Linked DNA regions of Drosophila melanogaster. The protein of the gene in region 1 interacts with the protein of each later gene in a pairwise test. Each region holds a gene or a part of one and is shown on either strand. Other genes may lie near its edges.

Region 1 (5,103 bases):
TTGGGTGGATGGGCTTGGATGGAGAAGTAGTATCCGTATTAGTAGCAGCTACCTGTGACGTGATTCACTTTCAAATCTGGTCAGACGACAAACGCATTTCAGTGCTTCGTCTTTGGTTTTTCTTCATTTTTTTTTCTCTTGTAAATGGCACGACTGTTATCCCATAGCCATTGTGTTAATCTAATCGATTGACAGAGTTGAGCATTGTCTACGGAACTGCCCAGCAATAGATAATCAGCAGTGATAATAAGGTACGCGCATTCTTACACAATTAATCCCCAAAGCACTTGAGTGTGTGGAGCGTGTAAAATTTGAGAACAATTCACTTGAATCGAATTCAAATGGAGAGAATACACAGTCGGCCATTTCCACGGATTCTTATCAATCGGAGTCACATGTGACCAATGGCGAGGGAGATATGATGATATTGGACACTTGGCTAATCTCCACTGGGCTTTTTCCGGCTGCGATTAGCCGGTTGTAGGACTGTTAATTGACTTTAGCTGGGAAACATGGAATCATGTTTTTCAAGGTGCAAAGTTATTTAATTTTTTTGTGTATCTATAGTTGCTAACAGCTATTTAATTTTTTTGTGTATATATAGTTGCTAACAGCTTATATGGTTTTAGACACACTTTCACAGTTAAATTACTCCTCGTACTTAAGCAATCGCCAGAAATGAAATGGAATATTTCGAAAAATATCTATTAAAGGTTGTCTTCTGATAAAACCAATGATCACAATGATTCTTTATTGGGCGCCAATAAAACAGAGTTTATTACCATGAATCGGTTCCTGTGCGCTTAACTTCAGATTGACGTCAAAGGAGACGTCCTCCAACTCTCACTTAGCTCCAGTCCAATCGTTCAATTGATCAATTAAATGGGTTTTGCAAAGACATTCGATGCCATTGCTCGAAGAAGTTAAGGAAAATTCTTTAAATAGCGCTCGATTGAAGTTATCAAGTGCTAGATGGCATCGGTGGAATCTTTTATGGTCGACGGATTTCGTTGGAGCTTTCACAAAGTTATCTACGGCTGTATATTTGCATTAATTTATTGCAAATATAAAAGACTTTTGCGATGATGATTGATCGCAGCATGTAGAACATTCATATAATATAATATATTCGCGGCTTATCTGACAATCGACGGCGATAGCAAAGGGCGCTATGGCGAAAAAGATTTAGCCATAAAGATCAAATCGAACGAAAGGCTAAATAAAAATCCACCGAACACTCAAGTTGGCGGCTCGTAAAAATCGAAGGGGCCCATGCTAGTTGTGGTTTGATAAGGGGGACGGTGGGGTAGCGGTAAACCCTTATCGGTGCGCCGGACTACTTAATTGGCTTGATATTGCCCTACTACCCCAACTACCGTGTGGCCAAGTGTGGATTGTGATTGATTTCATACCGAATGCTAAATACGCAGACGGGATCGGGTCCCCCTCCTTAAAATTGGTTTCACGATTGCTATCGGATCGCGAAATATGTGTGTGATTACTCCACTTACGAGTGTTTCATTAACAGACCCACTCCACTCGAATCGAATCTCAATCAGCCATGAATGTTGTTTCTATATAATCGGCTACAGATTCGATTTCGATTTCGCTTTCAATTTCCCCCGAGCCCCCTTCCTTCGAGCCATCGAGCCCTCTTTGGATTTCAGTGTGTCTCAGGTGCTTTCCACTGGGGGTTTATCTGCCTCAATTGCGCGAATTGTTTATTAAAACATTATCAATATCTGTAATCCACAGTCGGATCCACTTCACGCTGTTCTACACTCGTTTCGTCTGGCTTTGGCCTTTGTCATTAGTTCCATTGACAACTGCTAATTGTGGTAAGTGTTTATTGGCCCAATTTTCGAGGCATTCGATAAGATTTGGCCCGTGTATCACTCTTCTCGTTTAATTATGCATGTATTTCCTTTATCATGGTGAGACTTCCTCTGCTTATCTAAACCGCACAAATAATGTACTTAAATGATGGGTATACTCGAGATACTGTTTCGGATAGAGGTTACACATTTTGGTAATATTTACTGCTATCATTAAGGTGTTTTTCGGCACGTTTTGATCTGGATCATTGTTTATTCTATTGCAGTGCACAGAAAAGAATTAAAGTTGAGTATTAATTCATATTAATATATAAGTTATATTACTTCGTATCAATGCAACTTCAAAAGACGGAAACTAAATTTGTATCTTTAAGTAACTGAAGTATCTAAAGTAGAGCAATATACGTGCTATATATCTGTGTATGACATGACAGAATCAAAGTTGAAACACTCATTATATGTAGATCTAATTATTCGAAACGTAGATGCAGAAACCTTCTCTTTGATTGTGATACAATGTATATAATATATAATACAATGCACAACCGTTATACGCACTGCGCATTTCCTTGGCAATGTGATTGATTTTATTGATACTGATACGGAATTAATGCGTTCTGAAACTCGTTCACAGCTTACATTAAAGGGTTAACCCGCTTGAGATGTTCGCTTAATAGCATTTAAATGATGATACAATTGGTAGCACTGCAAATTGATTTTCCTCATGCAATAAAATATTCTTATGCATTCATTTCGAGTTCATTAAGAAATCATTCACATTTCATTAATTTCGGTCAATATGCAAATGGTCAGCAAAACGTAAATAAAGTGAAATATATGAGCAAAATTAATAACAGCTCAAAGTCGCAAGCGGGTGTTTTAATCATAAACGAATGTAATTTGCATTTGCACTGTTTTGGCTGCTTTGGCATTTCGATTGGAGTCGCCATAACAAAAAAAAAAACACGTACAGCCAGAAATGTGAAATATCTTAAGTATTTACTTTATTACAGCCACTGAACTCGAAGATGGGAATGAGTGGCAAAACCTACTTTGTATTCACACGGCGGCCAGGAGGAAATTAGGCAACTTTCGTTGATGTTTCAAATCTGAAAGCACTTTGTCACTTTTCGTTGTCTTCGTGTTTTAATCTTCTTCACTTTTCTCGGAATGGCGCCAGCACTCGACTAATTAGAACTCAGTTAGTCGTTCTGCGTTGACTTTTACTTTCATATTCACAAAACGCGGACCACGGAGGCGGAAAACTGTGGCGAAGTCGAACCGCAACCTGGCCAAAAGCACGACTAAGTCGCTGCAAATTCCTGCCAGCGTTTTATAGGCACACACACACACTCACGTCTGTAAACGCGATCGGAAGAATTGAAGCGAATCGAATTGAAACCGCTCTCTTGCTCACCCATTCATTCACGCACTCACTCACTCACTTGCTCACCTACTCACTCTCCGATTTGCGAAGAATTGCCCGAAGTTATGTGGCTGTAAGTCTTATCTTCTTGTATGATCCACCCACCTGAAAATAAAGGTGGCCCAAAGCCCGCTCTTCTGGTAGAAGAGGCGTAAATCAAGGCGATCAAGCAGCCAATGGTGTAAGCCAACTATATAGCTTCATGTGGCTACTGCACTGCCGCGAGTATATCACGAACTTAAGGCCCTCTCGAGTTGTGCGACCCATAAAATGGTCAACAAAATAATTTCCTCAACGCTTCCCAGGCCATAAATTCAGTTGAGAATTTACCATTGGCAAATGCAATGTCATAACTGGTACTCTTGGCGGTGTGAAAATACATTGTTTATATGGCCCTATATGTGACACGAAAAAGTATGCAATAAAAAATATGATTGATGACCCGAGATAACGATTGGTTTTTCTTTAATTAGGCAGTCTTGAGAAGCTCAATCAATCGGAAATCGAAAGCGCTTGATGGCTTTATGGCCACGTTAATCAATTCGTATTGATATGGTCGCGACGTTTCGTTTGCCCATCGTTTGATGAACTTTAGAGGGGATTTGGTAATTGAGTCACATTGAATGCATGGCGGTGGAAAAGTCAATTAGTTAATTGGCGGTCTAATTGACTTGACTTTACAGTGCTCGTCATGCGTATCAATAATACAAATAGCTTCTAAATATCTAAATACTTGCCCAAATATTATATTAGATTAATCATTTGGCGTAAACAAACACCGATAAAGATGTCACTTTGTTTATTTACCATTTGCATAAAACCCAAATGTATGATTTTCGTTTATTTACCTTACCGAATTTCAACTGACAAATCGCGATACACACAAAACTGATAAACGTGTTCTCTCGCAGACAATGAATAGTATTCCTTTTGATATCTGCGCCATAAACCGTGCTTATGTGTCCATAAACTCCTCAAAGATTTCCACTGCGATTCACCTGGGTAAACTAACTTTGATTAGTGCAATATAAGTACATGATATGCGGTATTTGGGGAAAACAATGTTATAATGAAATCAAATAGTGCAAATAGTGCTTACAATTGATAATTTGGTTAAAATGATTATTGTTATTTTTAGCCAGAGATTAATTTGATATTTCTGACATTGCCCGCATAAAGGTATGCCGGCATAGCATTAAAATTGATTTCACTGCTGCCATTTAATATTTATTGTAAATTTGTTTATCTAATTTCCGGCAATATATTTACCTACTTTCTATCTATGTGCATATTGTTTTCGCAACTCATACCAATTTGCAGCCAAAACGGCAAATGGCCGAATCGAATTCAATTCAAACAATCCGCAAAATTGCAGAAATGTATGAACTTTTCGGATGAAACTTCTCTAATTATTTGAGTGGCAAACGGCCAATGTAAAATGCGTCATGACATCGAGGTGGCTGATGAAAATGCGGCTGGGTCAGGGATTCGTGCGGGGTCTCCATAAATTAACTTTGCCAAAATTACAAACATTTTCCCATTTCCCCCATTAAAACCCAAATCACGGTGCCACACACCAGCGCATACATACATACATACATACATACCCGTGTTGGCTGGACGGGAGTGTAGCAATTTCAATTAAAGCTAATTACAACCAATATCGACTGCCAACAATGTCAAGCATCAAATGCGACGAAGCCACCCAAAAGGAGCCAGCTCGATTGGATGGCTGGCTGCTGGCTGGCTGGCTGGCTGGCTGACTGGTTGGTTGGATGGAAGCCCGGCTAGTGTCATGTCTGGGTCGTGCACTGCGAGAAATTGCGGTGATCCGCTCACAAG
Region 2 (3,963 bases), about 13 Mb from region 1:
TCTGCGTTGCCACCGATGCGCCGGCGATCAAAGTTGCGCCGACCATGATGGCGATTGTCGGTCTGCGAGCCTGGTGGAGATTTGTTACGGAATTGTCGTTGAGTTTTCTCGCGTTCGTTCACCCGTCGGTCGCGTGACCTGGACCGCCGAAAAGCGCGCTCGTTAGAACGCGATCGAGAGCGGGAACGGGATCGCAGGGAAGCACGTCGTCGTCGACTGTCGCGCGGCTGGTTTTCCTTGTCAGCATAACCCGCCGCAAGACCTGCTCCGCCGGGACCACCTCCTCCACTTCCGCTGACGCCGCTGCTTCTGCCCGGTGGGCTGGCACTGCGCACATGATGGTGTTGGTAGTTGGAGGCTGACTGTTGATTGTGGGAGTCTTTGGTTTTATGCTGCTGGATAAATTAGAAATATAAACAAAACAGCTAAGGCGAAGCTACCACTAAAACTCACATCAAAGGCTGGCTTGGCATCTGTAGGGACGTGCATGGCAATGCCGGCTTCCTGGCTGATAAAAGCTAGGGCCTCAGCTTCCCTGGCATCTTGACTGGCCTGCTCTAACTTGACCTGATTGCTATCGGGTTTTATCACATTATCTTTAGGAGGCGGTGGAGGGGAATCGGCAACCAAAACCGCTTCGATGTCGTCCTGGGGCCCATCAATGACCAGGGCCAGTTCCTGGTCGACTGTTAGCTCAGCGGTGGATGCACTAGAGGCTGTTATTAGAGGGGCAGCAGGGACCGTCAGGTATTCCTCGCTGGCAATGGCATCGAAGAGGCGTTCAACGAAACGTGTCGTCTCCTCGGACAGGAAAACATCGAGCTGTTCGATCATGATCCGCTTAAGGTCTTTATCCGATTTGTCCTTCTTGAGCAGCGCGATGACATATCGCGCCAAGGCCGAGGAGTCCGCATCGCAGCTGTAAGTGGGAGGGTGGTATGTGACGGGGTTAGTTCCAGGGATAGCGATGAAATAGCGGCTTTCAAGAACTTACAGTGGCTCCAGGACCACGCTCAGCCAATCCTTGAGCTTGTCCGAATTCTCCAGAATCATGCTAAGGCGGGTTGTTTCTACTGCTTGCTGCTGCTGCTGTTGTTTTTGTTTTTTGGTTGGGGGCTTCTTGCGTTGGTCTGCGCTAATCTGGGTGGGGGGTTAATCGTGCTCGGGGGGCAAACACGCCCGAAAAATTATTTTTAAGATGACCTCTGTCGCTCTGGCGACTGTGCTCCTGCGATTTGGGTGAACTTCTTACTTCCTGTTACCGCCGTTGCTTCTGCTTTTAATCTCTGAAATTGGATTTCGGCGTTTATTTTACTTTTTGTCGTACTTTTTCCTTCCTTCTTTTAATTGCTTCTTCTTCCCATCTGCTATCGTCAATAAGAAAGTTTCTCGATTTTGCTACCCGATACTTTTTGCTTGCGTACAAGCACGACGCACACACACAGCGCGCACAAACACACAGGCACGCAGAACTCACATACATACGTATTAGCAGCACCCAGTTTTTTGCGCCCAAATTTCTTGGGTTTTTCGAGCCCATTTTTCAACACAAACTCCAAAGACACATACCTCAATGCTTAAATTTAACTTATTATTAAGATTTGTACAACAAATTGTGGTTTGAACAGCTATTTTTATATTTTTCACTGCACTTTTCCTGTTGCAAGGTTGCTTTTGACGAGTCTAGGCTGCGTAGTCGATATATTGCCAGGTATATCGATAGCCTTCGATAACGGAATGCCCTCGAAACAGTGTTGACAGCTATAGACTATACCGTAGCTAAAGGTAATATATGAGTTTAAAATATAAGTTAAAGGTTTACGCTTTTTTAAATTATATTGGATATATTATATTCGATATTATATTATAAGAAAGCGCTAGCTTGCCGTCTAATTTTGACACTAAATATAGATAATCTATATAGATAGATTATAGATAGAAGACATTTGTCTAGAATTCCGCTATTTTGTATCCATTCATTTCACAACGTATTCATCCCTGGTCATTTCGTTTATCTGCGAAATTCTTTTTGTTGTGGATTAGACGTAAATTATTGCCATGTGCAGCATTGGTGAAGATGATTTTGGAGACGAGGGTGCCGCCCACGCCATGGTAGTGGAATCCCTACCATTAGGAATCGTCCTCAGTCCAGGGAATTGCAGCAAATGCGATGTAAACTCCGGCGAGCTCTACAAACTCAACTTCCGAACTGCGGAGTGCCGGGAATGCTTTCTAGCGTATGCGAGGCACAAGTTTCGGGCAGCTCTGGGAGCCGCCAAGATTCTGCCCAGAAACGCCGAGGTGCTTCTTGTCCTGGACGGGTCCGCAGAGTCGCTCGTTCTGCTCGACATGTTGCACTTCGCGCAAACACAGAACACGTTTAAAAGACTCCATTGCAACGCACGTGTGGTCTACGTGGAGGAGCAGCAAGTGCAAGGTCGCGATCCTGTGGACTTGGAAGCTCTGCAGAGATTATCAACACAATACGCACCCTTCGATTTCTATGTGATTGAACTGGGCGCCTTGCCCAGCTCCTTGCAGCGGATCAAGGATTATAGTCCTTTCCTCAACGCAAACAATGAGCTTATCCACAAGCTTCAAAAACTGCGAAGTCTGACAGCTCGCCAGGATTACCTCCAGCAACAGCGCAAGAACCTCATCTGCTCCGTGGCTCAGTGTCTGCAATGTACTCACGTCTTTGAATCTAATATAAGTGTTGACTTAGCCACCCAGCTGCTGACTGCAATAGCGCTAGGTCGTGGCGGTAGTGCCGCCTTGGATGTGGCTCTCCTCGACGATCGGCTGTCTGGAGATGTTAAGCTGCTGCGACCTCTCAAGGACCTAACTGAGCAGGAGATTCAATTTTACATACATGCACAGCGTCTAAAGCCACATTTTCAAAAAGGCTCACGTTATGGGATGGAGCATGGTGAGACTGCCAGCTTACAGAACCTTACATCAGCCTTTGTGGCCAATCTGCAGCAAAACTTCGCCTCCACAGTATCCACAGTGTTCCGAACTGGCGACAAAATAGCTGTCAATTCCAATCCAGAGCAGTCCTCTTGTGTTCACTGTCGATCTACACTGGACTCCGAACTATCCGACACTCTGCTGGCTATTGAGTACTCCAGATCTGTTTCAGAGGCCGGCGTGAGCCTGTACAAAAGCGGACAAGATCTCGAGGGCTTGGCCAAGAAGCGATTGGAGAACAAGGACGGTTTGTGCCACGCATGCCGCGCCATACAGACCGAGTTGGATAGTGGTAACTTGTTGTAGCGCAAGAGGAAATATATATATTTTCTATTAAAACTATATTCTTTTACTACAACTTGGCTAGCTTGTTATTGACAAGAGGCTGCAGTGGCAGATGCCCATCGCAGGGCGGTATATTGGAGGCCAGTACGACCTTGTGGAAGTCGTAGACGATATAGCGATTGTATTGCTTGGACTTTCGATGAAGGTCGTCCACCGATCCCGACAAGATAATTGTTTGTGTACAAGCGCCTGGTTCTTTGGGATAGAGCTCATCACCAGGAAGAACTCCAAACATGCAGTCATCGCAGCGATAGTAGACGGGCTGCACCATTGTGCTTCCATTGCAGCTCCTTTGGCGGGAGAAGTTGAGAAGCTCCTGAAAGCTATAGAAGTTCATCAGACGAGCGATGTCATAGAGCAGCATGAACGGGAGCCAAATAATGGCTTTCTGTGAGCTCGACCAAGCCTCGATCGGACTCAACCAGTGGGCCGAAGCCACCTCGTGCGGTTCCAGAAGCAGCTTTATATTCCTGGTGTACTTATCTAACATGGTGATATAATAAACAGTGTCATATTTCCGATTGGCAGTGGCTGCTGTCCTCCAAATGGACCATTCCTGAAGAGACCAGATATTGGGAATGACTTTATAATGCCGAAAGAGTTCCAGAAACTGTGAGGCATCATTGTGAACCCGATGTTGCCATTCGA

The links.
Region 2: the proteins of Nha1 (region 1) and Ctu2 interact in a two-hybrid assay, tested with the Drosophila melanogaster proteins (one large-scale study listed by BioGRID).

Annotation. Positions count from the first base shown.
Region 1 is NT_033779.5:6,867,247-6,872,349, forward strand, and holds the start of Nha1 (Na[+]/H[+] hydrogen antiporter 1), read right to left. Parts: upstream 3,144-5,103; 5' UTR 2,888-3,143; intron 1-2,887.
Region 2 is NT_033779.5:19,490,989-19,494,951, reverse strand, and holds Ctu2 (cytosolic thiouridylase subunit 2), read left to right. Parts: upstream 1-1,698; 5' UTR 1,699-1,785; intron 1,786-1,988; exon of another isoform or gene 1,989-2,043; 5' UTR 2,044-2,058; coding exon 2,059-3,276; 3' UTR 3,277-3,305; downstream 3,306-3,963. Other genes in the region: swm (second mitotic wave missing), read right to left, coding at 1-395, 454-919, 995-1,053; CG18094 (uncharacterized protein), read right to left, coding at 3,323-3,963. UniProt on the Drosophila melanogaster protein: Plays a central role in 2-thiolation of mcm(5)S(2)U at tRNA wobble positions of tRNA(Lys), tRNA(Glu) and tRNA(Gln). May act by forming a heterodimer with NCS6/CTU1 that ligates sulfur from thiocarboxylated URM1 onto the uridine of tRNAs at wobble position.